Linked DNA regions of Daphnia pulex. The protein of the gene in region 2 purifies or fractionates together with the protein of the main gene of each other region. This does not show direct contact. Links are inferred from orthologs where the notes say so. Each region holds a gene or a part of one and is shown on either strand. Other genes may lie near its edges.

The links.
Region 1: the proteins of microprocessor complex subunit DGCR8-like (region 2) and ubiquitin carboxyl-terminal hydrolase 36-like purify together in Homo sapiens (affinity purification with western blotting; 3 studies listed by BioGRID, with this or other methods). This does not show direct contact. The link is inferred for Daphnia pulex from reciprocal best matches to the Homo sapiens genes DGCR8 and USP36.

What each region holds. Positions count from the first base shown.
Region 1 is NC_060018.1:5,362,592-5,366,518, reverse strand, and holds the start of ubiquitin carboxyl-terminal hydrolase 36-like, read right to left. Parts: upstream 2,767-3,927; 5' UTR 2,567-2,766; coding exon 2,308-2,566; intron 2,232-2,307; coding exon 2,077-2,231; intron 2,011-2,076; coding exon 1,606-2,010; intron 1,532-1,605; coding exon 19-1,531; intron 1-18. Other genes in the region: clusterin-associated protein 1-like, read left to right, coding at 3,060-3,081, 3,161-3,357, 3,442-3,487, 3,554-3,672, 3,730-3,927. UniProt on the Homo sapiens protein: Deubiquitinase essential for the regulation of nucleolar structure and function. Required for cell and organism viability.
Region 2 is NC_060024.1:13,485,716-13,489,642, forward strand, and holds the start of microprocessor complex subunit DGCR8-like, read right to left. Parts: upstream 2,469-3,927; 5' UTR 2,055-2,468; coding exon 1,778-2,054; intron 1,713-1,777; coding exon 1,593-1,712; intron 1,519-1,592; coding exon 1,376-1,518; intron 1,313-1,375; coding exon 1,050-1,312; intron 985-1,049; coding exon 700-984; intron 634-699; coding exon 518-633; intron 448-517; coding exon 242-447; intron 178-241; coding exon 74-177; intron 12-73; coding exon 1-11. Other genes in the region: RNA-binding protein 1-like, read left to right, coding at 3,021-3,229, 3,294-3,437.

The DNA.
Region 1 (3,927 bases), on a different chromosome or scaffold from region 2:
AAAAAAGTAATAAAATACCTTGATCGCTGAATCCACTATGAGACATGCGGAGTAATTCCTTTACTGTATCAGTAGTGCGACTTCCATCCCATTTTACATTACTGCACTTAGCAGGCATGTCAGCAGGCAGTGTATTCGTTGCTGGGTCAGTGCTGGTTATGAGGGAATGCTCCTCCTTGACGGGCTCGGATTTCGTTTCTTTGACTGGTTCAGTCGGAAGGGTTGCATCCTTACTTTTACAAGTTTCGTTTGTCAGTTTTGCGTCGACTTGCTTAGTGGAAGGTCCAAATATTTTCCCACTAATGAGACGAATCTTGTTACCCAGTTTTCTTAAAGGTGGTGTGTCCTTAGTAGAGGGTGGATCCATCTCTGTGTCGCTGTAGTAAACCTTCTGTTCACTACGTGTTGGATTAGCTCTTTCTGATTCAGTATCACTCAATGATCGAACGATCCATTTCTGACTGACACTGCCGCTGCTAGTGGTACTGCTGCTGCTGTTGTCCTGCTGAGTGTTATCTGATACTTGCCACTTAGTGGCGACTGTGGGCCCACCGTTACTTGACACTGTAGTTGGTGTCTCAATAGGAGTTGGAGATGGGCTGACTTGCCACTTGGTTTCGGTAGCTTTCAAAACAGCAGATGATGAATGGGTTTCTGTGGTAGCATTGGTTGTGGCAGTTTCTTTCTCTGGTTCTTCATCCGACGATTCGCCATCGTAAGGCACCAAGGCGGTCGGATTTTTAAGTGGGGAGGTTTTTGGAGCAGTTACAGGGACGACGCGTGGTTCTTCCTTGACGGCTGATACGTTAACAGGAGCAACAGTAACAACAGGAGAAGGGGGGAGCGCCGTAGAAGATTTGAATAGTGCCGACCCGTTTCGCATAATCAATCGAGGTTTTGTTAGAAGAGGATCAGCCTTTTTTAGTTCAATTTGGATTTTTGGACGAGAGGGCTCTGAAATTATCGCCGGTCGTGGAATCGGAAGCTTAGGCGAAGGAGCTGGACTGTTAGCTTGGATGTTACTTATTTTAGCCATACTATTAGTAGGAGTAGAAGGAGACGATTGCACTTTCTCGTAGATCAATACATATGCGCCCGTACTCATTGCGACATTAAGTGAGATTAGACGGACGGAGCAATCGTCGAAGAGATACAGTTGTCCATTGCTTGCCTCTGCAATCGCGGTGTAATGACCGCAATGCTGTGATGGACCCATGTGATTGATGAGCGATACAAACTTGTAGGCAACACAGGGTCCACCCGACGACTGATGAAAAAGAAAGCGATTCAAGTTCAGGTTACGACTGAACTGGATGTGCTTGGACATTTTCCCGCCCATGAGTCCAAAACGCTTCAACTGGATGCACAGTACATTCGGGGCGCGCTCAATTGAAAATTTTTTGGTAGCAGGGACCTTGCTCTTGCATTTTTCGCATTTATAAGCATTGTCTCCTTCAAGCCTCTCGCGACGGAAATAATGACCCAAAGCATCATCTAGAGTTGAGGCATGCTGAATATCCAAAGGGATGTCCTACATATAAAGAAGAAAAGAAAAATATTAACTTGCTTTAGAAATAACTATCACCTTTTTAAAAAAAAAAATACCTGAAAATGTTGGAAGGTGGTTGATGTGTGTTTACACTTCAAACAAGTAACCTCAGTTCGTATGTAGCCTCCAAATATCTGCCCGAGAGGGTTAGTCTCTTTACTACGCGAGTCGAGTTTAGTTCCACCGACGCTCTGAAGATACGCCTTTTCCATAGCTTCCATTAAGTATCGCATAAATTCATGGGCATCTTCTTGCCTTCCATGAACTAAATGTTTGCAAATCAGTTTTAGTCTATTGTAGACCAAAATGGGTTTGATAACAGATCCTGATTTGTCGTGCGTAGACTGAAGTGTCTTAGCAATAATACACACAACACAGAGCTGACTTCCATTAGGATCACAGTTTTTACATTGTCTAACACTCGACAGCCAGTTAGACAATGATGGGACGTGGAAAAGTGCCTAAAATTATTTAAAAAAAAAAAAACATTAAATAATGTATGTACATAAAAAAGATTTAATACTTACTTGTAACGTTGAATTCATATAACAAGTATTTCCCATATTTATCATGCCAGCTCCAACTGGTACAGAGCCTTTCCACCCAACTTTCACATCTTCACTTCGAAACAGGGTGACCTTGGGGGCTGGGAGCGAATCTTGAATTGTCACAGGACTTGATCCTACATTTAATATCATTAATTTATGTAACAAACTTATTAATAAGGGAAAGAAGTAACTTGGAACTGATAAAAATACCATTTAGGGATGTGATTTTAGCAGAAAGGCTGGAATTGAGCACAGTATACTTGCTCTTCAATGTGTCCAGCGAAAGTAGTTGTTGTTTAGGAGCAGGTTCATATTCAATGGATGAGAGCAATACTCTCTTGGCAGATGCTGCCAACCGATCCTCGAGTAATTCTGGAGCATTTTCTGTTTCATGCGAGTAAGGACCCTTTTTCCCGCTCAAAGCGGTTCGCAGTACGAGAGCCACCGGATCGGCCACCGAAGCAGGCATAACAAAAATGCACAATGTCAACAAAATGAAACAAATCAAACTAGAGAAACAAATAGCAGTGGATTCAATAATTTTTTCGTCAAAACGTCATGCCCAAAAGTCACAAATTTACTGGTAACACATTTGCTTCGAGAGCAACAACACGTGAACAGGGCCAAGACACGTTCACAGCCGAAATCCTTCGCCATTAAAATGAGGTACCAGTTTGCTATCAACCCTAAACACCCCATCATTGGAATCATTATCTTGAAAATTCGCTTACATTTTGAAAAATTATCATTTACAATCATACAATGTTTGAGAAAATATTCAATAATAAAATATTTTATATGTCAACAATAAAAAATTGTAGGTGTTAATTTTAGAATAAAATAATAACCATGTCATTCCCTAAACACAGAGTTGCTATGGAGACATTAATAGCCATGCTTTCAAACAAACTTCGCCTCAAGACTTATTCATTCCTTTTAAGCAGCCCAACAAAATTTAAAAAATGTCGTATCGAGAAATTACAGGTAAAATAAAGATTTCTGTAAAATCTTTGAGACGATACATGTTTCTTCTTTTTTTTATAATGATTTCTAAAAATTATAGATTTTATTGATAAAATGTGTTTACTCGGTTACCCGCGTTTAATTTCTCGCGAGAATTTCCGATCGACTAATTTCGGATTAGTAGCTGAGATATTGAATTGGTTTTGCCAGCAGTTGGATGTCAACAGTGGAATTAATTTTCTCATAAAAACAGAACAGGAGCGCGTAGTTTTCGTAACATCCGTTGTAAAATTCCTGGTAAAATGCTTTCTTAAACTTATTATTATTAAAATTTTTAATGCCCGTGATATATTTAATACAATAACAACTTTCCTCTTTCAGAATACCAAATTACAAATAAAGCTAAATCCTAAAAGACTTTACCAAGGTAAGTGATTCACGATAAATGTAAACGTAATAGATCTAGTAATTTTTTATGATTATTTGTATCTAGCGGACAATATAGCAGTGAGAGAGCTTCTCAACGTGGCCAATTTTTTTTACGAGGCCTTGCAGCTTGCTCGTAAAGGAGGTGACAATAACGAGCCTTCTCTTTACGGATTTGGTGGTCAAGTAAATTTATTAGATTACCATTACAAGGTTTTAGTATTGACACCGATGTGATTCAAGGCGGAAGATGTTCGTGAAATGCGTCAACTTGCTTCTGAGATTACAACAAAAGGAGCTTCCATACACGATTTTTTAGGCCAAGAGATGCGTATGAAGAATCAGCGTGATCAAGTGCTACAGCGAACCTATGAGCTGGGACAAATTGAAACTGCACTGCAATCAAAAATGAAAAAAATGGAGGTGGAAATCAGTCAAAAG
Region 2 (3,927 bases):
AACCAAAGTTTCTGCAACATTCATAATTATTGAAAATCGTTCAATACGCTAAAGAGAAAAACTGTTGAATCACCTTTGAAGGCATGTGAGGAGGATTGCGTAAGGGGATGGTTCGCTCGTTTTTGCACACAGTTCGGCAACGCGAGGGTCTTCTATTCGAATTTCGTTGAAAAACTGCTTTACAATAAACGGTAAGTAACACCATTCAATGCATCTAATAGCAAAATTAAATGCAACGTACGGATAGATCTAAGTCAGACTGATGATTTGGTCCCTTGTGACCTGGTTCCGCCTCGTCCAATATTTTTTCCTTCATCTGTGGAATAAGAACTTCTAGTGTCGCTTTCGCTGCTTCCGCCTTGGCGGCTTTCTTACTCGAACCGACCCCAGTACCGTACTGCATTCCATTAATCAATACCGTAGCACTATAAGGCGTTGCTGCATTCTCTGTCGAACAAAAATTACCCGATAAAACAATGAAAACAAAAATCGTTGCATTATGGGCAGTCGAATATACCAATTTCTTTAAATGTATAGGCAGGTTGCTTCTTAAGGGCATGTTGAACGTATTCATGGAGGATGCAAACGTAACTTTTCCCTGCCGGATTCATAATCCATTCCCGTCGCGATCCACTGTGAGATTTACAAACAAGAAATTGTTATCACAATTGAAGCCTTCAATATATAATGTTTACTTACCCATTAGCTCCACCAGCAGCACCTTGTCCTTCGCTTTGGGAGGTCGGATCGTTGTGTGTTGCCGGAATGGAATGTCCGATAGGGAAGGTTATAAGTTTGGTCCCTTTAGGTAAAGTTGGTCGACCCAGTTCAGCCGTCTGTGACAATTTAGCATCGTCATCCTCAACAGGGCTTTGGCTTGAGCCAATCACTTGTTTCTTATCCTCATTCAAGGAAAGACCAGATTGGGGGTAAATCTGTCGTTGTTTCCGCAGTTTGGTGTGCTTTCTCCTAGCTGCCCATGTTCTGTATGAATTTTTTAACGATGAATGAATGAGTAGGTATTAATAAGATTTAAGCAAATTACTCACTTAAATCGCATAAGGCGGACGGTTTTAAAATCAAATCGTTTGGAGCAGTATTCGCGCAGCTGAACTCCATTGAGAGAATGTGCTGCCTGATTCTCTTGGACTGATTCGATCCGAGCACAGGGGATATCAGGGGCAACATGAGCAGTACCATCTGCTGCAGTGTTAGCTGAGGCCTCTAATAGCTCTTCGGATTTCTGTTCTTCTTTCTCCTTGGCTCTTTGGTAATGTAGGCAAGGTACGGCGCTAATTGGCACTGCATGTTTCTAAAGATCGGAACTCGGGAGTTTAAATAGAAACAAAAAAGTAATGTTTAATTTAAAAATTACTCTGGCACTTCCAGGTCCAAGGAAGTAAGGCTTAGCAAGGGTGCAAACCCGTGTAGGTTTGTGAAGGTAGATAGGCATTCCACTGTTGTGTGTAACTTGGACCCAATTTTCAGGCAAAACTTCGAAATGGTTCTTACCCTTTTCTTAAAAACACAAAATAAAAATTAAAAAACTTTTTTAAATTAAATGTTTTTAAGGAATAACCTGAAAGTGTTACCTTCAAGAACAATTTTTTCTTTTTCTTCATATGCCATACTTGCATCCCCATTACCAGATGGCTTGGAAGAACCATCTGATTTTTTGAACTTTTTCCTAGATTTCATTTCTTCTGGTAAACCTTAAAAGTTACAAGTTACAGGTAAAAAATATCCACAACAAATGTCATATAGTTTGTAAAGTTACCTTCTTCCAACATAGCATCAATTTCATCTTGTTGTATATCAAAATCTTCTTCACTGTCTGCTTCATTGGAACTGCTGAAATCACTCTCTGAATTTTCCTTACACTCATCGTCATCATTAGCGTTGCTTTCAACTATTTCATCTAATACATGAAACTCTCTCATATTACTGAAATCTTTGTACAGTCCATCTGCGTCATCTTCTTCGGGATCAATATCATCCACTAGTTGAGAACCTTCCAAAATATCTTTCATCTCTTCCATTTCAAATTCTGTCATGCACAGAGTAGAAACCAAACTTAAGATAAGGTGTGGAATTGGAAATCCACAAATAAAGTTAACTGGTCTTAATATCTATGAATTACAATGTGTAAATGGAAGAATGAGCATCTACATCATAGGCCTTGTCTTCTGAGAAAATCAAAATCGAACACACATCAATAGCATTCGGGAAGATTTTCCTCAAACTTGGCAAAGCAATGATATAGTGCTATCGTATTTCGACGTGACGGATGAAGAACCGCTTTTATTTGTATATAATTGGATTTATATTAGCAACTATAGTTTTAAAGTAGAATGCCAATATTAGTTCAAAACTTCAAATCAAAATAATAATTTGATTCAATAGAATCGTCAAAGGATGAATAACTCGAGTTTGTTTGTAAAAGATTTCTAAAAAAATATGGCTTAGCAGACGAACTTTTTTCGAAAATCAATCTGTTGTTGCCTCGTCTACAACGCCATCTAAAGACGATCTAATTGTAATAAAAAATTCTAATATAAATCTGATAAAAATATCCTTGATTAAAAATTGCACAATATTCCAAATACAAACTTAAAATCATACTTTTTTGTCTTTTGCAAAAATGTTTTTGTTGATTTTGTTGCCGCATGGCAGCGCTGATTTTCCATTTTGTTGACAGCTTTATGACGTAGTCAGTTTTCACTCCGCTTCAGGTTACTCTTAATCTAGCATCTCGTTGAAAACGATACTGAAACCAAATTTGCTAAAGAAAATACATTCAAAATTCCGGAACAAGAAAGGTAGTCACAACATTCTTCTTTATTGTTGTTTGTTAGTTCATTTTTGTGTATGCAATTGTTTTTCTGTGCATTTCATTAGAGATGCTTTTTATGTTTTTGGTGATGCCTTTGGTCGGGCTAGCCAAGCAAGATGGCGGTTAATCGAGCATAGTTATTTTCAAACCCAGATTTCAACATCAAAATTTTCATTTCCTCTTTAGAATGTCGCGTCATCGTGAATGGGATTTGAAATGCAAAGTCTATGTTGGCAATCTGGGCAATAACACAGCCAGAGGTGACTTGGAAGCTTCATTCAGCAAATATGGAGCCTTGAAAAATGTTTGGGTTGCCCGAAATCCCCCTGGCTTTGCATTTGTTGAGTATGAGGATCCCAGAGATGCTGAAGATGCAGTTAGAGCCATGGATGGATCGTAAGAAACCAAATTACATACAATGGTAATTAATTATGTAAAATTAATTATTGACTTCTCGTAGGAGGATTTGTGGTTCTCGTGTGAGGGTGGAGATGTCTTCTGGCAGAGCCAGAGAGAGGAATGGACCCAGAGGAGGAGGTGGTGGTGGTGATCGCGGAGGTGATCGCCGCGGAGGGCCCCGTGGCGGTGCCGATTTCCGCGGAAGGTACGGTTAAAAATAATAAATTCTAACTTTTTTTTTTTACTTTTGAATTTCAATCAAATTGATTATTAAATATCAAATTTTATATATATATATATCGGAGCTGCTTATTTAAATCAAAACCTATTGCTTTCACAGGATTTTTTCATTTGATTTACTACCCCACTACCCCATCCATACAGCCGTAGTATTTGGTTGAAAAAAAAAAAAAAAAATAACATACCCCCTCTTTGTTTCTGGTTAACTGCTGCGGCACATGTTTGCCTGCCAACAACCACAAGTCTCTCCCCTTGTCGTCCACCAACTCAGCTCAATCAGCTCAGCTCAGCGCCGTCCTCAAGCGCCGCCATTCTTTTTTCTTGGCGGAGCAAAATGAAACAGAGCATAGCCAGCTTTCGTCCATCCATCCATCCAACCACACCCACACACCAGCTACCTCCAGGCTCTGTGGACGCGGGCGGGTAGAGAAATCTACCACGTCGATCAGCTCTTG